Linked DNA regions of Yarrowia lipolytica. The main gene of each other region encodes a partner of the protein of the gene in region 2 in a complex. Links are inferred from orthologs where the notes say so. Each region holds a gene or a part of one and is shown on either strand. Other genes may lie near its edges.

Region 1 (5,005 bases), on a different chromosome or scaffold from region 2:
GTGCAGGCCATCTTTGACGCCGAGGAAGAGCAGCGACCTGAAGGTGATGTTGAAGAGAATCAGGTTGCTGAGGACGACGAAGAGGACGTTGTGGAGGTTGTGGACCCCGAGATGCAGCCCGAGACTACAGAGGCGGCTGTTATTACCGAATCCTCTTCGGAGCCCCCTGTGGAGGACCCTGATCTCAACATGTTCAGTCTTCATCTTAACAACGTCAAGAGCCTGCGAGACCTGTCGGGTATTTCTCAGCAGCGAATTGACGATAAGGATAAAGATAAGGATACGGGCAAGGACGAGGGCAAGGGCGAGGGCAATGGCGAGGGCAAGGGCGAGGGCAAGGACGAGGACAAGGAATGGTAGTACTATTTGTACAACTTGTATGTATTTTACGGTATTTAATGTATTTTTAAGAAGCACTCTTGTTATGCTCATACCAAAGAGTCGAACTCACGACCCCCTGTATAGCTGATTTTTACCTCGTCTGAAAAAAACCTAACCCTGCAACATCCAAACTGTGTTAGTGAATTTTCGGATCACGGTACATCACTTCACAGTCACAAACATGTTCAAGCGAGCTACCGTCCCCCTGACGACAATCAAGAACGCCAGAAACGCCTCGATTCTGCGAGCGCCCAAGCGACAAAAGCGACTCGCTTTCGGACAGACCATCGCTCCCGTTTTCCACGAGTTTGAGTGCACCGTCCAGCTGTCCGACGGCTCCACCTACAAGCGACGAACCGTGGCCCCCGTGGAGCAGCTGAAGCCCATTAATGATCAGCGAAACGTGCATCTCTGGAACCCCAACAAGCCCGAGCTCAAGACCGACTCTGGAGAGGAGGGCAAGCAGATGTCCAAGTTCAACGAGAAGTTTGGTTTCGGCGAGGTCGACGACGACTTTGCCGATTTGCTGGGTCAGGACTTCGTCGAGACCAAGTCTGGAGTTCAGGTCCAGAAGAAGAAGTCCGACCTGAAGAAGAAGAAATAGGCGACGTAGAAGGAGACACGGAGAAGGCGTTGGTAGCGCAAAAACAGTACATAGTAACCAGCATATTATTGGATGATCTGAGTACGTAGGGGATTGTAAAGACATGGCATACATTCCTCAAACACATGGTGCACGCTATGAACTCCCGTTCACGTCGTAGTTATGGCTATATTACATATAAATTACTAATCTTTCTATGATGCAGAGTTATCCCGTCGTGGACAAGTAGACCTTTCTCTAAAACTTGTGTTTGGTACTATAGTCCTTGGGACTGACCACCAGACCCTTACCTTTACTTGCTCCACGATAGACTGTTTCGATGATGTCAATGAGCTCCTGCTTGTCCTCCAATACCCAGTTCAACTTGTTGTTATCTCCGGTGCCAAAGTCGCACATGATGTGTTTGTTTCGGTAGAAAAACATGACCGATACTGGGTCATACAGCTCGTACATCTGGTTGAACTCGGGCACCTGGTCAATGTCGCACACGTAGACGGCCGCGAAGTTTCTGATCTTTTCCGCCACCGAGTACAGATGGTCGTCCATTTTCATGCATTCGAGGTCGTGGTCTCGGCCGAATCGAATGACAACGAGTCGATCCTCCTCCGATAAGATGGCCTGGTCCACGTGCCAGCCCGTGTTCAGGTGAGGCAGCAAGATAGATCCCATGATGTGTGTGTAATGTGCTGAGTTGGTGCAGAGGTAGGGATATATTTAGGTCACGTGAGTGGGAGGTTTGTGGGAAAATACAAAAATAAAATAAAATAGAATATAATATAATATAATATAATATAAATAAAATAGAATACAAATTAAATAGGAATACAAGTAAAAGTGCATCAACTCGATTTACAATATAACTTGATCAGACGCGGGAAAACATAAATGTGGTAAATTCCCCCAATAGCTATATATCTGGCACTCTACCCACCATATATCCAAGTTATTTGATTTTCCAGTACATTTTCGTATATGGGTACAAACCTCAAACTCTACATTGCATTGTTCAAATGCTCTGGAACCCTGACTAACTCAATTGGACAGGCCCGGAATATCGCCGAATATGAACCCATAGGGGATACCGGGCGAGAAAAAACGAGCCCTGTGGAATGGCATTGTCCAACAAGTAGTTCAAAGTCTGTCTATGTCTGCGTCCAGTCGGTCCCTTTTGGTGTTTATTGACACACTAGAACCTTCAATGATCTGAGGCAGGAACTAATTCTGGCTCTAGGAAGGGCCTGTCGGAGGGGGTCATGTAAGTACGAGTACGGGTGATGGATGAGACATGGTGAGTCACAAAGAGTGACGTCTTTTCTTTGTTATAGATGTGTGATGGGATTCAAGCTCTCGGGAAACACAATTCCGGTGTAGTCACGCCTGCTCTACGACTTGTACGAGGGACTCGTTATCATCTATCTCTCATTGACAGCAAATGCATACTGCGCTGGGGTCACTTTCACGCACCCTTTTCTTGTTACTCCCAAACCCCGTTGTTTTTTTTTACAAGAGTGCAAAGTTTGGAAAATTTAACTCCAGTCCACTCTTACGACTACTGCCATTGTGACTTCACTAAATCTGCTACGTAGGAAGCTGATTCCTACCCCCCATTTTATACGTCAATTCTCAGTCAGTTCGAATTTTTCCGCTAGAATGTCCACCCGACCCGCCGACCAGGAGCTCAACCGAGAGACTCTTGATGCCGTCCTCAAGCGACGGTTCTTCTACGCCCCAGCCTTTGAGATCTACGACGGTGTTTCCGGTCTTTACGACTACGGCCCGCCTGGATGTGCTCTCCAGACCCGAATCATCGACACGTGGCGAGATCACTTTGTGCTCGAGGACGACATGCTCGAGGTCGACACCACCATGCTGACTCCCCACGAGGTTCTGAAGACCTCTGGCCACGTGGACAAGTTTGCCGACTGGATGTGCCGAGATCTGGCCTCCGGCGAGATTTTCCGAGCCGACCATCTGGTCGAGGAGGTGCTCGAGGCCCGACTCAAGGGAGACAAGGAGGCCCGAGGCATCAAGGAGGACGTTGTTGAGGACGAGTCCGCCAAGAAGCGAAAGAAGAAGGTCAAGGAGATTGTGGCCATCAAGCTCGATGACAATGTTAAGGAGGAGTACGAGACCATTCTTGCCAAGATTGACGGTTTCTCCGGCCCCGAGCTTGGTGAGATCATGGACAAGTATAAGATCGTCAACCCCGTCACCGGCGGTCCCCTTGAGAAGCCCATGGAGTTCAACCTCATGTTCGAGACTGCCATCGGCCCCTCCGGTAAGCTCAAGGGCTTCCTGCGACCCGAGACCGCCCAGGGCCAGTTCCTCAACTTCAACAAGCTGCTGGACTGCAACAACACCAAGATGCCCTTCGCCTCTGCCTCCATTGGTAAGTCTTTCCGAAACGAGATTTCCCCCCGATCCGGTCTGCTGCGAGTCCGAGAGTTCACCATGGCCGAGATTGAGCACTTTGTCGACCCTCTGGACAAGGACCACCACCGATTCGACGAGGTCAAGGACGTCAAGCTGCGATTCCTCGCCAAGGATGTCCAGTCCGCTGGTAAGACCGACATCCAGGAGATGACCATCGGCCAGGCCGTTGAGACCGGTCTCGTTGACAACAAGACCCTCGGATACTTCCTTGCTCGAATCTACCTGTTCCTGATCAAGATTGGTGTCAACCCCGACCGACTCCGATTCCGACAGCACATGTCCAACGAGATGGCCCACTACGCCACCGACTGCTGGGATGCCGAGCTGCACACCTCCTACGGCTGGATCGAGTGTGTTGGCTGTGCTGACCGATCTGCCTACGATCTGTCTGTGCACGAGGCCCGAACCAAGGTCAAGCTGCAGGTTCAGCAGAAGCTCGACGCTCCTCTCGTCGAGGACAAGTTTGTCTGCGAATACGACAAGAAGAAGTTTGGTCCTCTGCTCAAGAAGGCCGCCAAGCCCGTCGAGGAGTGGTTCGAGTCCCGAACCCAGTGCGAGCTTGAGGATCTTGCCAAGGCTCTTGAGGCCGGCAAGATCGTCCTGCCCGAGATTGAGGGTGTCGAGGTTGCCGGCACCGAGCTTGACAAGTCTCACATCAAGATTGAGAAAAAGACCATCACCACCCACGTTCGAGACTACACTCCCAACGTCATCGAGCCTTCTTTCGGTATCGGACGAATCCTTTACTCTCTGATCGAGCACTGCTTCTGGACTCGACCCGAGGACGCCTCCGGAGCCAAGGGTGTGCTTTCTTTCCCTCCTCGAATTGCCCCCACTAAGGTTCTTGTTGTTCCTCTCTCTTCCCAGAAGGAGCTGGCCCCCTTCACTCAGGAGGTCTCCAAGAAGCTGCGACAGGCCCGAATCTCCGCCAAGGTCGACGACTCTTCTGCCTCTATCGGTAAGCGATACGCCCGAAACGACGAAATGGGAACTCCCTTCGGTATTACCGTCGACTTCGACACTGTCAAGGACAACTCTGTCACCCTCCGAGAGCGAGACTCCACTCGACAGGTTCGAGGCTCCATCGACGCCGTCATTGCTGCCATCAACGTCATGACCGCCGACGATGTTGCCTGGGAGGAGGCCACCAAGGACCTCACTCCTTTCGATTCCACCGACAAGGAGTAAATCCAGTAAACGTTCAATAAAAATATGTACAGAGTAATGAGTTCAATATTGGAATTAAACAGCACCAAGTAGTCACCCTCAGACCACTTGAGGTGAGATGTATGGGTGAGAGAATAGACCAAGGCAGCCAAATCAGAACATGTCACACTTTGGATCTGTGGCGGTTTCTCTATGGACAGCCGGTTTACATATACTGAAGTAAGGCACGTTCTACTTTGTAGTAAGGGCATCTAGTCAAACATGTATTATCGTTATTTCTTATTTCTCAATGAGACCAACACCCCACTTTTGGTTGTTGAGTCTTTTGGCGACCACGGGGCCCATGTATCGCACGGCAATACCCAGGGCCAGCACAGTGTACACGAGGTTCTTCTTGCTGAAATTGGGCTTCATGAGATC
Region 2 (4,758 bases):
TCCAGAGTCAGATGGATGTCGTCATGATTCAGGCTCTGGGCGGTTATTCGTGAGACCCGGTCGTATCGGGCGGAGTCCACAGACGTGGTTTTGAAGGAATCCTCGAATAAAGTAGACATTGTGCTGTTTTCAAAGATCCGAAGTTGACTATCCAGAGTGTTAGGTGCCGAGAGTCTCGTCTTGTTGCCCTCTGCTGAAATTTTAAACTTACGCTTTTTCTGCAGGACACTGCTGGCTTTTTGACTTTTTTTTTCCACCGCACACCGGTAGGGTAAAGTGTCGGAAGACGCCTCCCGCACAGACAAATATACCGCTTGTATGATACAATATGTAAGGGGGATGGATGGAGAGGCAACCGGGAGTGTGTCGGGGCGCGAGCAGACACACGAGAGCAATGGTTTGAGTTTTCGAGCCTGTGGTTTGGGGCTTTTTTCCTCTTGGCAGCAAGTATAATGGTATGACTCGTCCCCGGTCTTACACATGTTGTTTGTCTGTCTACTTGCCTTCCATCTCTTAGATTCATAGAAACGGTGTAGATCTCTTTTTGAGTGGAGACCAGGCCGGAGAGTTGCCATATAGCTGACTAAGCAGTACCGTGAGTCCGTCGACGGGTGCGAGTTCAGTACAAGTCCTCGTATTTGTTGTCTTCTCTTCACCATTATCTGCTAGTACAAGTACATATTGTAGCTACAGTAAGCAGTTTATTTGGGACTACATGTTGGACCACATGCAATGTCCGATGATGTCATAATGGACATTTTTACCAGGGTGCTGTCTTATAATTATTGTACAAGTGTAAATCTCTTGTGTGCTGTCGTTTAAGTAGCAAGACTACTCTCGGTTGTACACACGTACAGTAGGCGAGTACTTGTAGAATGACCCATTATTGACGCCAACCGTTTCATAGCGCTATAGATCATGTCCATAGGCTGTAGACGTCGGAAGGTATGCGGGATAAGCCGTCTGATAACCACCGCGATCACCCTGTCGTACTCCCTGCTGCCAAGAAATCTTTCAGTATGAGTACAGTACGAGTGCGAGTAGTGTACGTCCTCAAGTGCAGTAGTTGCTGTCACCATGCTGGCAGAGGTGGTCATCTCTTTCACAGTTGAGATCAGCCTTTCAAGTGACTGGGGGACGTAGTGATATAGACAATTTTAGCTGGTCAACTTTCCATTCGTAGAGGACTGCTGCCGTAGCTTCACCTAGAGTGCTTCTGTTACAGCAGTGTCGTAAGTCCATTAAATGAGCACTTGGTCACTCAGATGTAGACTTGGTCACTCAGATGTAGATTTGGGATACTTCCGACTTGCCCTGGAAGACCGTTCGAGTATTAGACGTGTGTATCCTATGCGTTAAACGCTTGTGCAGTTCCGTGGCTTGTGTGTGGTGCTAATGTGCTGATGTGCTGTGTAGCACGAGCTATCCGTACAGTGAAATGTTCTGGCGCCCTTAAAATCACTTTTTTGTACTTCCAAACCCGCCAAAGCCCATGGCGGCCATCATTTCGTCGTCAGCTCCTTCTTCCACCTTTTCCTCTCGTTTCTGTCGCTTTCGATCCTTCTTCTTCTTCTTCTGTCGCTCAATCAACTGTTTTCTGGCACTGATCCGAGCGTTGATATCGTAGTCCAACTCCTTCTCCTGGGCGCGTTTTCGCTCCGTCAGCCACTTGAGCCGCTTCTGAACATCCTCCAGCGTCGATTGTCGGGGTCCGTCCGTCTCTCCAATCTCATACAAGTGCTGTTTACTGTTGAGATGGTCGATCCATTGAATGGAGTCTTTGTATGTGAGGTTGCACACTTCACAGTAGAAGCCAGCTCCTTTTCCTCGTCTTCCCACCGAGGCCGTGGCGGGAACCAGCTGGAGAGTGTTCAACCCTTCGTTGAAGTCGATCCGCTCAGTTCTTGCCGACATGCTTGAGGTGAAAGATGAGATGATGGGCTAAATAAAATATCCATGATATGCAGGTGGATGGGTGAACTTTATCGTAGAGTGGTCTGGATGTAAGTATTTAGTTAAAAAAAAAGGGGGTTTACTCGATTTATACTTAGGTGAAAAATATAAAACAAAGCAAACACTCATTGAATAACTACTGTAATGACAGAGAGGGGATATCAAAACAATCCAAACAACTGAAAACAGGAAGAAACCTACTGAAAGCACTACATATCAGTTATATATACAATTGAGAAACACCCATTGTCGTTTAGTCGCGTTACCTTCCCCCAGAAAGACTTGTACCATCCCAGGGTCCTGTCCTACACTACAATCTCAGTCAGTATCTCAATCTATATCTATTTACTGCTTAAGGTGAATGCCTCGGGCATGAAGAGCGTCCTTAACATTGTCGTAAACCACGTCAGGGTCCTGCTTGCAGTCGACAACCACGACTCGGTCCTGGGTCTCAAAGTAGTCGACGACAGGCATGGAAGTCTCGATGAAGGTCACGAACCGCTTTCGGATGGACTCGATGTTGTCATCGGTTCGGCCCGAGGTCTCGCCTCGCTTGAGCAGACGCTTGAGCATGACCTCCTCGGGACACTCGAAGAAGAGAGTGAACTTGGAGACGGCCACGTCCTCCTCGAACTTGAGGGCCTGGTCCATCTTTCGGGGGAAGCCATCAATGAGGAATCGGGTCTTGCCCTTGGCCACGCTCTCCTTCATGGCGTTCTTGAGCAGGCCAATGGTCACCTCCTGGGGCACAATGTCTCCCGCCTTGATGCAGTCGGCGATGAGCTTGCCGTACTGCGAGTTGGGTCGAGACTGCTCCTCTCGCAGCAGATCACCGGCAGACAGGTGCACAAAGCCGTACTCGTTGACCAGCTTCTCGCACTGGGTGCCCTTGCCGGCTCCGGGGCCTCCTAGCACAAAGATGACGGAGACCTCGTTGGGGCCAAACGCGGCCTTCTTGTACTTGGATTTGGTCTGCTGGACCATCTGGTTGTAGTCCTCCTCGGTGATCTCGGCCACCACGGGCTTCTTGTCGAGCTGCTTGGCCGCCCACATGAAGAAGGCGGTGGTGGCTCCAAAGGCAATCACCAGCTTGACAGGGGTCGGCATGGCGCCCTGGAGCAGCTCGTGGGACGCGTATTTTCGGGCCATGGGGCTGGGGCGGTTCATTCGGCCCATGGTCCGGGCCAGGTGCGAGATTCGGCTTCGGAACATGATGTTTGTGTGTGGTGGTGTCCGGGCTTGATTTGCTGTAGGAGTGAAATTTGACGGAGCTGCAGGGTGCGTGTAAACCGCCGCAGCTCTTAAGTACCGGCGGGCGACGGTCTCAGCACAGGCAGCAGAACAACGAGCAAACATGGCCGTGCGCGAAAACTGGGACTTTCCATTGGTGAACAGAGGGAAGTGGAAACAAAACGGGGGAGCACACGACTATATATATACACGCTGCCTTTCTCACAACGGCTTTTTTTTATGTTGACGTGGGAGGTCATAACCTTGACAATGGTGCGTTTGGTCAGGGGGAAGCAACATTAATAAAACTACGAGTACACTGTAGTTGTAACAGAGTCCTGGTGAAACCGATTTGTGGTCTTGTCGGACTTGTCACGTGATATACATTACTCATTACGTCAGCCCCACGGTCTCCCGGCACTACAAGTACTCCTCCTGTTCTTTGGTTCAATACCAAAAAAAAAAAAAAAAACACACACATTCCAAGCAACCGATAGAGTTGGAGCCCAAAGGATAGAGAGAGATAGACAGACGCAACCATGACCAGCCTTGGCGGTGGTGGAGATTTGTGGAAGGAACAAGTAAATGATAGAGACACAAATGGGGATGCAAATGTGTTGTTTCTTCCGTCCCATTGTCGCTCGCTCGTGTTGTTTTTCAGAAGCACCTCTTTTCCCACCCAGAGCGGCTCGTTTGTCATTGTCACTGGCTCGTCGCGTCTATCGCGTAATTTGGAGATCCATGGTTAAACACTCAAGTCAATGTCTAAAGGCAAACTGGTCGTGACGGAGTCAACCTCAAACTTTGAAGAGAAGATACGGCCTACAGTTACTTGTACGGTACTTGTACTTGTAGACTGTGTGTGTGTTGGTTGAGTGGTTGTAATGGCAGTGTGACATGTTGTCAACTACTGTAGCTGTGTAGGTACTGCCTAGTATCGTGCATTCATAGTCGTTAGAATGCAATTGACAATCGTCGTAGTCCTTCAAACCATCACAAACACCCCTAAAGAGCCAGCTGCTTGTTGACCAGATCGGCCACCTCCTTCTGACGCTCCTCAATGAGCGAAATCTCGCGCTGGTACTGCTCTAGCGTCAGCTCAAGATCAGATTTGCGCGCGTCCATGTCTACCTTGCGCTGCTTGATGGACTCCACTACATCTGTCAGAGACGGAATCTCCGGCACCGAATGCAGCTTTTTCAGCGCCAGATTATGAGCCTCGTGATCAGTGGACTCCCGGTACTTAGTTTCCGACGTGGAGTCATCCTTGAATACACCCGACGACCGGAACTGCGACTTCTCCCATCCTCTCCTGTCCTCCTCGTCATCTTCACTTGCAGTCAACTGCGCCTCGTAGATGGCTTCAGCCATATCGGCTCTTCTAGCATCGGCCTGGTCCGACACCCCAGACTCGCCAATCACCAGTAGATCGTCCTGAAAATCTCTCCCCTCGGATATAGACAGATCCGAGTCGTACCCGTCATCCAGAGACGCCGTGTAGCCTTCTTTGGATGTGGCAGGCAAGTCTGTGTTGCTGTGTTCCATTCCCGACAGTGAGATAAAGTCTGCGGAGGA
Region 3 (5,448 bases), on a different chromosome or scaffold from region 2:
GTTGGAGTTGTAAGACTCCAGAGAGTCACAAATAGCCTGCTTAAAGTCGTCCACAACGACAAAGTCGGGGAACAAAGGCAGAACGTCTTCAATCTTGAGCACCTGGCTCTGTTTGAGAAGAGAAACCACCTGAGATAAGGGAATCTCGTCGGACTTGTCAGACTCCTCAATCACATGTTTGACAATGGCAAACCACAAGTTCTTGCAAAGATCAGGGGTGTAAGCGGCATCAGATTCGTCCAAATCTCGAGTCTGTTCAACCACCTTGATGGCAAGCTCCAGTCTGCCATGGTCAAGAGCAAGCTTGACTGCCTCATGGTACATGTGAATGTTGCAGTAGATGTGAACACAGGACTCGAACCGCTTGCATCGAATGCAAGTACGAAGAGCAAAATCCACATCATAGGGCAACTGAGGAAGAGTAGCACACTCGTGGAGATAATCCAAAAGCTCGGTCTCTTCAGTCTGAGGAGACATAGAAAGCAAAGAAATGAGAGTGTTGTGAATAATAGCATCACGAGATCCCTGCTTTCCCACAACATTTTTCAGGTACCGCACAGCCTGGTCACTGGCAACCTTGCCAGGTCTGACAGTCTGCGAGTAGTTCAACAGAGCAGGAACCATTTTCGTGGGGTCAATCTCCTTTCCTATCACAATCCACGTGTCAACGGTATCTCTGGGAGCATGCACCAGCAGAACCGTCGAGTATTTGTACAGCAATGCACGGTCTTCTTCAGCCTTGACCTGTCGAAGCACCTGAAGAGCCTTGGACCAGTTCTCCAGACCAACCCAGTATTGCAGAACAAAGTTGTAATCCTGAATAGCTGCAGCGTAATATAGCAGCTCCTCCTGTCGGCCGTTGACGCTCATGATCTCAAACACGGTTCCCTTATGCAAATCGCCCTTGTATTTGGTAATAAAGTCGTGGAACTTGGTCGACAGGATTCGACGCTGCTCATCCAGAGGGGAGTCCGAGGTGGCCTCCTGATCATCCAATTTGTTGAACTGCTCCATAAACAACTCGATGATCCATGTGGACACAAGCAGGCGTTGAGTGACATTGGCCTTGGGAAAGACGGTCAACTTGTTCTGAAGGTACTTGAGCAGTGCCTCAGGCTGGTTCGCATCCAAGAACAACAATGCAGTCTGTTCCAAGGGGCGTCTTCGCGAGTTTCCATAGGTGTTGGCTGCTCCAAGATAGTCCTTCTCTTGGATTTGCTTGTCTCCCAGAATACCTAGCAGTTCATCCTGAGAAGAGGGATCAGGGTCGTTTTCAGACAACCGCATAGCCTCGTCCAGATCACCCTGTTCGAGCACCAGCTTCCACATTCCTCGAGACTCGTCGTCCACAGTGATTTCGTAAATGTTTTCAGCTGAGAACAACCAAAAGGTGTGTTGTTTGGGGTCAACTGTGAGACCGGTAAGAGTCTCATTGCCCTGGGTAACATGCTGCTCAAACACCAGCTCATGAGAGAACCGATTGACAATATACAGCTTGGTTTCTGTAGCAATGGCCATATGAAAACTGGTCAGACACATACCCACAATAGAAGATTCCTGGATCTGGTTGAGAATGTAAATATTGGATCCTTGAAAGAAGGTCTTCCGTGACTCCAAAGTGTCATTTTCGTCCTTCTTGATTGTTCTGTGCACAATACCGACCTCTGAAAGCAGAGCAAAGGCCCAAGATGAGGACTTGGGGTCAGGAGGAGTGGCTGACAACATGGCAGCTCTTCCGTTATCGGCACCAAACTCCTGATCTACGTGTTCTTCACGCTCAAAGAACTTGGTGTAGACGGGAATACCGTCCTGCAGGTGGGCAGAGATCTTGCCAGAGTAATAGTAGGCATGTCCATTGGCGTTTGTCACAATGATTTTTCTGTAATTTGGGCTGGATCCGAGCTGAACAACGATTCCGGTGATGGGTGTCACCACGTGGCTATCGGCAGCTTTGAACTCGGCTACCTTGCGCACGTATCTGTCTTCCCGCTTGAAGTACTCGTCCGAGAACTCCAAGCATGTCTCGTAGACGCAGCCGTCTGCCGTTCCCAGTAGCACCTCTCCTGAGCTCAGAGAGCTTTCGATGGGGGACCATGCCACGCATGTGATTGCCAGGTCTCTCAATCGGCCCAGAGACTTGACCTTTGTCGTTTGGTAGTTGAGCACATAATTGTCGCGGGTCTTGGTGGCGATGAGTAAGTAGGAGCCGGTGGGGTCGAGAAACAGGTTCTCAATGTCACATCCGCCGTCCTTGACGTCCACGTCATCCACGCTTTCGGGGTTGTCGAGGTCAATTCGAATGATTCGCCCAGACTTGAGCGCCAGACAGAGAGTGTTGTTGGCCACCGCCAGAGCCACGATCGACGAGATGGCGAACTGGAACTGCACGGGCTCGACCGCAAACTTTTCGCTTTCCACAGCTCGGTTAGGTTCCGGGGGAAAGTCCATGCTGGTGCGATAATTACTTGTAGGGCTGGTGTTGGTGATGTGGAGCTGAGCTGTGCATGCAGATGTCCAGCGAGCTTAATGGAGGGTAGTTGGATGGAGTTCCATAGGACCTACAAAATGTGAATACAGTATTTGTATGAATGCTGGGAAGTAGATTATCTGTAGAAACATTCATGCTGATTAAGGGAGATGTGAGAATTACTTCTCTCATGGTCAGAAAGTTGACGATTTGCTTTTCCCAGCATGTTTCGGCCTGGCGCTATATCATCCTGGATATCTGATCTCTGTACATGGCTGATTAACGTCAGTTGATAGTCACCTTAAAATGTGAACAGGGGGATAAGACAGGCCAAAAAATTACATACAGTATAATTATACAGTAGCTACTTGTACTTGTACTTGTATAATTAAATGAATGTATATGCAGAAAAAAAAAATTGTACAATATACAGAATGTACAGTACAATACATACTTATATTATGTTATAAAAATTGTACAATTCACTTGTACAATATATGATGATACTGTATATAAATAAATAAAAAACCACCACGTAAAAACAAGACGATATAAAGACAACAATGTAGCCCAGTAATAAAAAAAGATGGTAATTTAGAAGAATGAAACACTGCTGAAAAAGAGATCAGACGAATTATCTAATTACAAGTGAACATACCATAGCTACAATAGTCACAAACTGGAACCCTTTTTCGTTCTTCTTCGTCAACTAATATTGACAGGAACTTGTTTATCTTGTCATAATCACGGAGAGCTCTTTCTCACCAATAATTCGGTTAAACGAAGCTTGTACCCCCAACAGTCAGCCATATATCGCATTTCGTAGCACTCTTCCCTATTCTAAAAGTTTAGCCTCGCCACCACTCCTCGTGTGCTACACCAACTCTATCCCGATGAACATTTCTGCAGCACCACACATCACACTATGGGAGCTGGCGGAATTCCATTAAAACTCCTCAGCGAGGCTCAGGTGAGTAAAGAAAAACAGAGGAGGAGTTGACATGATGCAGCAAATGGCGTATGGGCACGACTTTTGTGTCGCCACACACCCCAGAACATAACTAACACAGGGTCATGTTGTCACCGTTGAGCTCACTTCAGGACACACTTATCGGGGAAAATTGATTGAAGGTGAGTACAGAATAAGGGTATTGTGGCAACTTGAGGGATGTCAGCGGAGTCAGGACCTCGCTTCAGCTTGGTGTTGCTCGCTCGCTCAGAATCTCGCGAAGCTGGGTATCCATGTGATATTAAATTAGCACCATGTGATTGTGCCGCAGAGACCGAATTGTTCGTGGAGGTTAGACGACAGATAGGGCAAGCTGCTGAACGGAGCTTCAATGGAGCGGTTTACGCGGAAAGATGGACCATTTGTTATGTGTCGCTGCATTGATGGAGTTGAAATCGACCGTGGCTTATCAGAGGACGACCATAAGCAAGCATAAACGTTTCATTTCAACAAACGAGATCATGCGGCTCGCAGCTGTTTCTCAGAAACCTGGATATACTGCCAAACACTTTCCCCTTAGACCACCATACTAACTCAGCGGAGGATAACATGAACGTGCAGATTCGAGACGTGACCGTCACTGCGCGAGGAGGCCGAGTGTCGCATCTCGAGCAGGTTTACATCCGAGGATCCCACGTGCGGTTCTTTTCCATCCCCGAGATGCTGAAGAACGCGCCCATGTTTCGGCCTCAGACTCTGGCTGCTGTGCGAAGCAGCAGAGGCCGGGGCGGACGGGGACGAGGAAGATGATGTATGTATTTGCTGGCTAGATGTAATGATGAATGTAAAATAGATATTGCGAGCACGAGCACGATAGTACGAGTACAGCACAGGTATCGGTACTGTACTGTAACTTCTGTGGGAATTTTGTCTACAGTAGCAATATTGTAGGCCAAGTAAATATGGTCATGATAGAGTAATTATCAGGCTGGAAGAAAAAACGAAGGCGAGGGGTCCGTATAATGAGGGAGTACGAGACCAAATGGGCACGTATAATACTCTTAAGGTCTTATAATTCATCCATTACTATTTTTAAGACCTCGAATACATCTCAAATCATACAAATACATTCCCTAAATTTTCTTCACATTTCATCTCATCTGCAACTAATTAGTGGGGTTAACCCTAATGGTGTTTCTTGACTGTGTGTCAATCATTCATAGTCCCCAAATTGCTCCGAAAGCGATATGTTTTCGTTAAATAATTCACTGAAACCAAAAACCCAGGCTTCATTAAACAATTAATCATTTCATCAGTTCCTATACCTCCTTTTTCTCCGTGTCCTGTCATCTCAGCTTTTCCGGGGCTTAAGCACACGTAAATACCTCCCAACACCTTAATACGTTATCACGCATTCTGGAGTCGGCTACACGACTAACACATCACCAAACTCGCTCCCAAAAATGAACAAGGCGGCCATCTACGCCAAGTACAACATCTCCGAGGACTATCCGGAGACGTTTACGGAGAGCGAAAACTTTGATCTGTCGGTGCTGCCCGAGGCCGATCCTGCTCAAGAGACGAAATCAGGAGCAGCATCAGCGTCCGTCAACACCTCTCGATATGTGCTGCTGAACCAGCTCGTTGGCGGCAACAAACACAGCAGACACGCCATCACCGACGACGAAGCTGATCCACTGGGATTTTCGGCCTCGGTCATGACTCAATTACGTAAAAAGGGCGTCGATTGCAGCGAGTCTCCGGCCATTGCTAACCAGTACTTTATCTCGTCACGAGACTTCAATCCCCGAGTGTTTCTGCGAGACGTGCATGCGGACGCCTCTTTCGACACCCTTGCTCAATCGTTGGACCACCTGGAGGCTTCAATTACCGAGCAAAGCTCCGCCCTGCAAACCCTCGTGGACCGCAACTTTGACAAGTTCGTCAAGAGTAAGAGCTACCTGGACTCGGTATTCAAGCAATTCAAGTCGTCCGGGTTCACCCAGGAAAACGAGTGGGGCATGGGAGAGCT
Region 4 (5,834 bases), about 830 kb from region 2:
GACATACTGGTGTCAAGGTTGGTCGAGGACGATACGTTAACAGTAATAAGAAGAACCGAAAGTAGACGGCCAATGGGGAACAATGATGGGAAGGAGGTGATAGAGTAATGCATTTGTTTTATTGATTATCGTCGGGGTGGGCTTTGTAGGCATTGTCTTGCACAGTACAACTCATGTATTCTTAGGTATGTGTAATAGAACCAAGATTCAAGAGCATGTCTCTGTATGTTATCGCGGGCCCAACTACGTCATGGTCTACTAGCCTACATAGGTAGTCATTTTTTGATATGTCCAATCAATTATCGATATGTCCAACATGTGTGCGATTTGAAACTCGACTCTCGGTTAGGCAATCACACAAGAGGAGGGTTGGAAGGTTCGGTATCCGCCAACAATTGTAACGTTGGAGTTGACTCGGTAGGAGTCGGTGCCATATGCTCGAGGGATAGCCTTGCTCATTGTGTTAGTTGTTGTAGTAGTGGTTCTTTCTGTTTGATGGACTTCACGGGAGGGATTGTACTGTTACTTATAGACATAAGGCAACAGGGAGGCTTTGTCACATTCACGTTTCAAAACAGATCCGTCAATGAACTTGGGTGATTACCAAATTGCTTCGATACTGGTCTTGTCTAGAATCATCTCTGTGATTCATTGTCCGTTCCCGTTCAGGAAATTTTTGACCTTCCATGCATGGATTCTATTGACATGTCCAATTGGGGAAAACAGATATGGCATCTTCAAGAGATCTGAAAGGAGGGGGATTAAAAAAAGAAAAAGAATGAAATCTTTTAGATCAATCTAGCTTGTGCTCTTAACCAAGCTCCTCATTTGGTTTTGTATGCCTTTTTGTCATGTCTGTCAGAACACATCCTTGCAACGAGTTGACATTGTCAACCCGAATATGGTGTAATCAGACGGACAGTAAGTCAAAAAGAAGAGCTGACACAATCCGAAAATGTATTGTGTGCCCCGGCAGTTCTACTTGTATGAGTCTTGCTACCCTCTTGTCTACAGATCTGGTTTACTGCAATCCCACGGCTTGTAGCTCTACATTGCAAGACAGAACAATACAATGCTACCCGGCGAGACTCTGACTAACCATTTCACAAAACAGACAACAAAATGCAAAAAATACAATGATTAATAATTTAATGGGTGGAAGCAGCTTCTCTCTAGCAATCAACACACGACCCATGATGCAGAGCACAGGACAGGAGGTTACTTACTCAGAGGCTTCCTTCTGTTCAACCTCAGCATTCTGGTCAGTCTCGGAATTGCCATCAACCCCAGCCTCCTCCAGGACTGTCCCCTTGACATCCCTTCCTCGCGGTTCGTTGACTCGGTTCCCCCGATCCTCCATATCCACAACAGTCAACAAAGCCTTTCTCACACAACTCTCGTAGCCCTCAGCAAAGGTCAATAGCCGTTTAATGCACACAAGCCACTGCCTCGTATCATCATTGACAATGTGTGCCACCTGCTTCGAGTTTCGGGCTGAAGCAATAGTCTTGTTCTGAGACGCTCTAGCGTGAATGCCAATGGAAGCCACTCCAACGGGCCAACAGGCGTTTCCAATGCACAATTTAAGATAGACATCATAGGCCTGGTGGTGTTCCTCATGTTGCACATGGTACATGACCTTTGAAAGCATAGCCAGAACTTCGTCTTGGAGACCATTGTGTCGTAATAAGACCATGAGAGAAGATAGAGAGGTCTGCGTTTCTTCGAAGATAGTGTGTCGCTTGTAAGCGTTTGCTGCCTCGGAGACCTCTTCGGCCGCTCCACTGGCCTGGGCTGCAGCTCCCTTATCCAAAGTACCCTCCCATTCACTCAATAACCGTGCCAGAAACACTCTCAGCTGCATGGCGAGCTTTTTCTTGGTCTCCGAATCCCTTGTGGCATCCTTCTTTGTGGCTACGTCACTCCAGTCGATTCGCACGTTTGTTCTCGCGTCATTGGCAGCCATTTCTTCCACTGTCTCTATTGGTTCCGATGTTGCCACATCATGCTCTGTCGATACGGTAGATGTTGTGGAAGCTGGTGCTTTGGCCAAAGATTCCTGCTTGGCTCTCTTGGCCTCTTCTCGCTCAAGTCGCTCTTCTTCCCGGTCAAGTTCTCTCTGTCGCTTCATCTGCTTCAGCCGTTCCAGGCGCTTGAGGTCGTCTGAGTTGTCGGAAACTGTCGTCTGGGCGGGCTTGGGAGCCGCTGCCTTACAGCCGTAGTCTGCCACTCCCGTTCCAGCTTTCTTCTTGGAGATTTCGCCCTGAATCAGTGCTGCAAAATCCATTTTTGTGTGTTGTGAATGAAGTAGCGTTTTTTTGCGATGCTGCACATACATCTATGCAGCTGCAGAACACATTTTGTGCCAACCTTAAAAACAGCGTTCTTCTTTTTTTCCTCTGCCAACTTTATCGAGGCACGACCATGACCAGATATGGAGAGGTAGGCGACACCACCAAGTCGCCTTGAAAATGAGAAATCGAGGCAGTTGCTTAGTCAGAAAACCTTTTTCCGATACAAACATGCAATTTTCACACTCTTGGAAGACTCCATACTATCCTTGTAACGCTCTTGCCCACGTCTCGTTGCTTTAGTCCGAACTTCTCCTCACACTCAACCAATGGGATTTTTTCAGTTCATATTAAGTAACTTTCAACAAGGACAATAGAACTAGTTAGTTTTAAGCGCAAGTAACTCTGACCTTCACTCGAAATATGCCGTCCAGAAACAACATCTTGTAGCTCTGAATCTCTTCTCGAGGCCACTACCTAAGATACATCGATGAACTCGACCTTGTGTACATGTATTCTTACATACGTCTCTTCTACACTCACTGACAGACCGCTCATATTCCCCTCAACTCTTCCTCGGAAAGTTACTTTGATTGCAGTTCGGTCTAACGGCGGTGAACTCTGCTGCGCAGGTATAGGTGAGCTGTGTGTCTCAGGGTGCCTGAACCCGAGACTTCTGGGTTAGATCAAAGGCAAAAAGGTGAGCTGACCTCTATTGCTAGCGGATCAACAGTTATGAGAACGCCCAATGTGATTGCCGACCCTCGGCTGATTGTATTGATCGACAAAGCAGCACATGCGGGAAGAAACGGAACCATGAAGGTGGAGATCCGGTGCAGATGTGCGCGCGAGAGATACGGAGAGGGTTATGGGGTCAAATTCAATTGAATTGCACATTTGTGATCATTCTGCTGCCCAATTGCGTGTGTACTATTGCTAATATTCCAGAATACAGTACATACTCGTGCGTACAGTGGGAACTTGGACAATCCACCCCAAACATCATAATATGTCTCAATTTCAACATATTTCGTCGATATCATTGATTGCGAGTGGCACAGAGACATGCGCAGAGTCATGCTTAGCATACATATCCCTTTCTTATACCAAAAATCCCCCTTCAAAGGGTCTAAAATTGACACCAACTTTTGCGATCACGTGACTAATCTGTCTTCTCAAAACAGTCTAACGGTTTTTGGTCCTAACGGTTGCGGCCATATCCTGGTGAAAATACGGCTTCCCGTCCGATCAGCCATAGTCAAGCACCAGAGAGCCTAGTTAGTATTGTAGTGGGAGACCATACGAGAATCCTGGGTGCTGCAATCTCTGTTTTTTGCAGCTTACTAAGGTGGCGACAATGTAAGTTTTTTTGCTTAGTAATAATGCTTTGCATTAATGCTTAGTAACAATGGGGTATTGGAGCCTTCCGAAGTCCTTCCTCAACCTTCGTTACTGGCCAAGCTGATTAATATCCTCTTTAATACTCGTATTATAGCACACAAAGAGGACCCAAACTGGTGTCAAGATGGGGCTTTTGTTTGAATCGACTTGAACAGAACTCGAACTTGGAGCATCTCATACTTCAACTAACTTTCCAACTGTTATTCCTCTCGTTTGACAGCTCTATAGTTGACCATCGAGAGCAACCCAAACTGTCACCACGACCACACAATTGGGGCATGCAATGACCATTAAAACTGAAAAAAGGTAGTCTAGCAAATATATACCAGTAATTCGAGAAGAATATCTCGGAAAAACTATACCCGCAACTCTTCAATCACCCATCATTAGGTACATGTCCATACATTACCTACGGTACCATATTTAAACTTCACCAAGAAAGTTCATATATGCAGAACCTCAGCACTTTGGCGGTTTCGCTGATCGAGATAGATACATTTCCATCATCGTTTCCTCACGACATTCGCACAGACAAGATGAACGTGAAATCTGAGGTCAAGCCCGAAGAGGAAGATGTTAAGATTCCTCCTCCTCCTGTTGATGCCGACGATGGATCTTTCGACCTGGATACTGCGGGACTCGAAAACCGGGTATGGTTGGTGCGACTGCCCAAGTTTTTGGTGGACAAGTGGAGCCATCTGGATGAACACACTAACAAGCGACTCGGCCAGGTGCTGATCAAGGAAAACACAGCTCCCGGCGAGAAACAAAAGGTGTCTTTGCGCCTAAGTGATACGCCCGAAAACAGTGAGATTCCACATGAGTATGAGTTGGATATCGTCAAGGAGGTGGTCAACAACACGTTTGTGTTCACGGAGAAGGAGCAGAAGAAGGAAAAGGAAAAAGAAAAGGAGGAGGCCGGCAGTAGTGGAGCCGGCTCGTCGTCGTCGGCAGCGTCATCGTCAGCAGGAAAGGTCTCAAAGCCATCAGCATTTCCATTTGCACGAACAATCCCCAAGAAAACGGCGCTGGCCGGCCGAGTAATCCACGAATGCACAGTTGTGCCGTCACTCAAGGACGCAAATTACAAAAAGGTCATTCAGAAGCGAAAGGAGCGACTGCAACAGCCTCCTGCTGCCCGAGTCACTCTGCTCAACGACCTCCCCGGCGTGGTGGCTTCTTCCAATGCCCCCAACCTGCGTGGCACTGGCTCTCAGTCGCACTTCATGAAGGCCCAGAAGAAGGATATCAAGCTGGACGGAAAGGCCGTTCGGATCGAGCGATCTGCGCTTCTGGATATCCTCTTCAAGCTGTTCGAAGAGTACCCCTACTGGTCGCTCAAGGGTCTTAAGGAACGAACCAAGCAGCCTGAAGTGTACCTTCGAGAGGTACTCGATAGCATGGCTGTTCTCAACAAGTCTGGTCCTTATGCCATGAAATACTCCCTGCAACAGGAGTACAAGCAGCTGTCCAATTCTGCAGGTGCCCAGGAGGAAGACGATGGTGCAGACGATGATGACGATGATGTTGAGATGGAGACTGTGTTGTAGATTTGACAAGTGGTTTGCACATGGGTTAGGTGAATAAATATAAATATCATTGACTATATAAATGAGTGAATAAATAGGTCAGTTCTTGGTTAATGGGGTATGAAGTTGAAGTTGAAAACATCGTGACGATTAGAAGACATCCTTATCCCAGTTGAAAACAGATAGACGAGGCTGGTCAGATCTCTTCTTCGGTAGGCCTCTTGAAATCTGACGTCGTTGTTGCATCATCAAAGCAGCGTACTCTGGATCTTCTTCATCTGACGACGGCAGATCACAAGAATCCGAGAAAACGGACACAGAAGAAGTGGTCGACGTAGTGGAGCTGCCAGAGACTGAACGTATCTCAGCCTCCGGACATCCAATGTGGAATCTGTCCAATTGTCCGTACTTTTTCGGGCTTCTCTTGGGGCTCTGAGACATTGTAACTGTAGAAGAAACCGATCCGGGAGCAATGTACTGATTAGGAACCGCAAACTCCTTCACAGGGGACTTTATGGTCACCATGGGAGAATTAGTAGTCTTCAAAGACTTGGCAGGACTTCTCTGAGGTGATTTTTGAGGTGATCTCTGAGGTGAAGACCGAGGCTCAGTA

Evidence for each region. Proteins that work in one complex are often made in the same cells at the same time.
Region 1: YALI1_F12983g (region 2) and YALI1_E17583g share a complex: the UniProt entries of both Saccharomyces cerevisiae proteins name them as parts of the U4/U6-U5 tri-snRNP complex. The link is inferred for Yarrowia lipolytica from reciprocal best matches to the Saccharomyces cerevisiae genes SNU23 and DIB1.
Region 3: YALI1_F12983g (region 2) and YALI1_A19974g share a complex: the UniProt entries of both Saccharomyces cerevisiae proteins name them as parts of the U4/U6-U5 tri-snRNP complex. The link is inferred for Yarrowia lipolytica from reciprocal best matches to the Saccharomyces cerevisiae genes SNU23 and SMD3.
Region 4: YALI1_F12983g (region 2) and YALI1_F21279g share a complex: the UniProt entries of both Saccharomyces cerevisiae proteins name them as parts of the U4/U6-U5 tri-snRNP complex. The link is inferred for Yarrowia lipolytica from reciprocal best matches to the Saccharomyces cerevisiae genes SNU23 and PRP18.

The regions. Positions count from the first base shown.
Region 1 is NC_090774.1:1,755,007-1,760,011, reverse strand, and holds YALI1_E17583g (uncharacterized protein), read right to left. Parts: upstream 1,655-5,005; coding exon 1,223-1,654; downstream 1-1,222. Other genes in the region: YALI1_E17613g (uncharacterized protein), read left to right, coding at 1-360; YALI1_E17594g (mitochondrial 54S ribosomal protein bL31m), read left to right, coding at 563-985; YALI1_E17574g (uncharacterized protein), read left to right, coding at 2,636-4,606; YALI1_E17527g (uncharacterized protein), read right to left, coding at 4,865-5,005. UniProt on the Saccharomyces cerevisiae protein: Essential role in pre-mRNA splicing. Also essential for entry into mitosis (G2/M progression) as well as for chromosome segregation during mitosis.
Region 2 is NC_090775.1:1,295,533-1,300,290, reverse strand, and holds YALI1_F12983g (uncharacterized protein), read right to left. Parts: upstream 1,915-4,758; coding exon 1,459-1,914; downstream 1-1,458. Other genes in the region: YALI1_F13001g (uncharacterized protein), read right to left, coding at 1-119; YALI1_F12969g (uncharacterized protein), read right to left, coding at 2,299-3,309; YALI1_F12951g (uncharacterized protein), read right to left, coding at 4,189-4,758. UniProt on the Saccharomyces cerevisiae protein: Participates in pre-mRNA splicing. Part of the U4/U5/U6 tri-snRNP complex, one of the building blocks of the spliceosome.
Region 3 is NC_090770.1:1,993,998-1,999,445, forward strand, and holds YALI1_A19974g (uncharacterized protein), read left to right. Parts: upstream 1-3,392; coding exon 3,393-3,437; intron 3,438-3,537; coding exon 3,538-3,598; intron 3,599-4,014; coding exon 4,015-4,226; downstream 4,227-5,448. Other genes in the region: YALI1_A19965g (uncharacterized protein), read right to left, coding at 1-2,448; YALI1_A19989g (uncharacterized protein), read left to right, coding at 4,880-5,448. UniProt on the Saccharomyces cerevisiae protein: Plays a role in pre-mRNA splicing as a core component of the spliceosomal U1, U2, U4 and U5 small nuclear ribonucleoproteins (snRNPs), the building blocks of the spliceosome. Also binds telomerase RNA and is required for its accumulation.
Region 4 is NC_090775.1:2,124,410-2,130,243, reverse strand, and holds YALI1_F21279g (uncharacterized protein), read right to left. Parts: upstream 2,339-5,834; coding exon 1,223-2,338; downstream 1-1,222. Other genes in the region: YALI1_F21315g (uncharacterized protein), read left to right, coding at 1-65; YALI1_F21261g (uncharacterized protein), read left to right, coding at 4,142-5,242; YALI1_F21224g (uncharacterized protein), read right to left, coding at 5,372-5,834. UniProt on the Saccharomyces cerevisiae protein: Component of the U4/U5/U6 snRNP, binding principally to the u5 snRNP. It is not absolutely required for the second step of pre-mRNA splicing at low temperatures but is required at higher temperatures.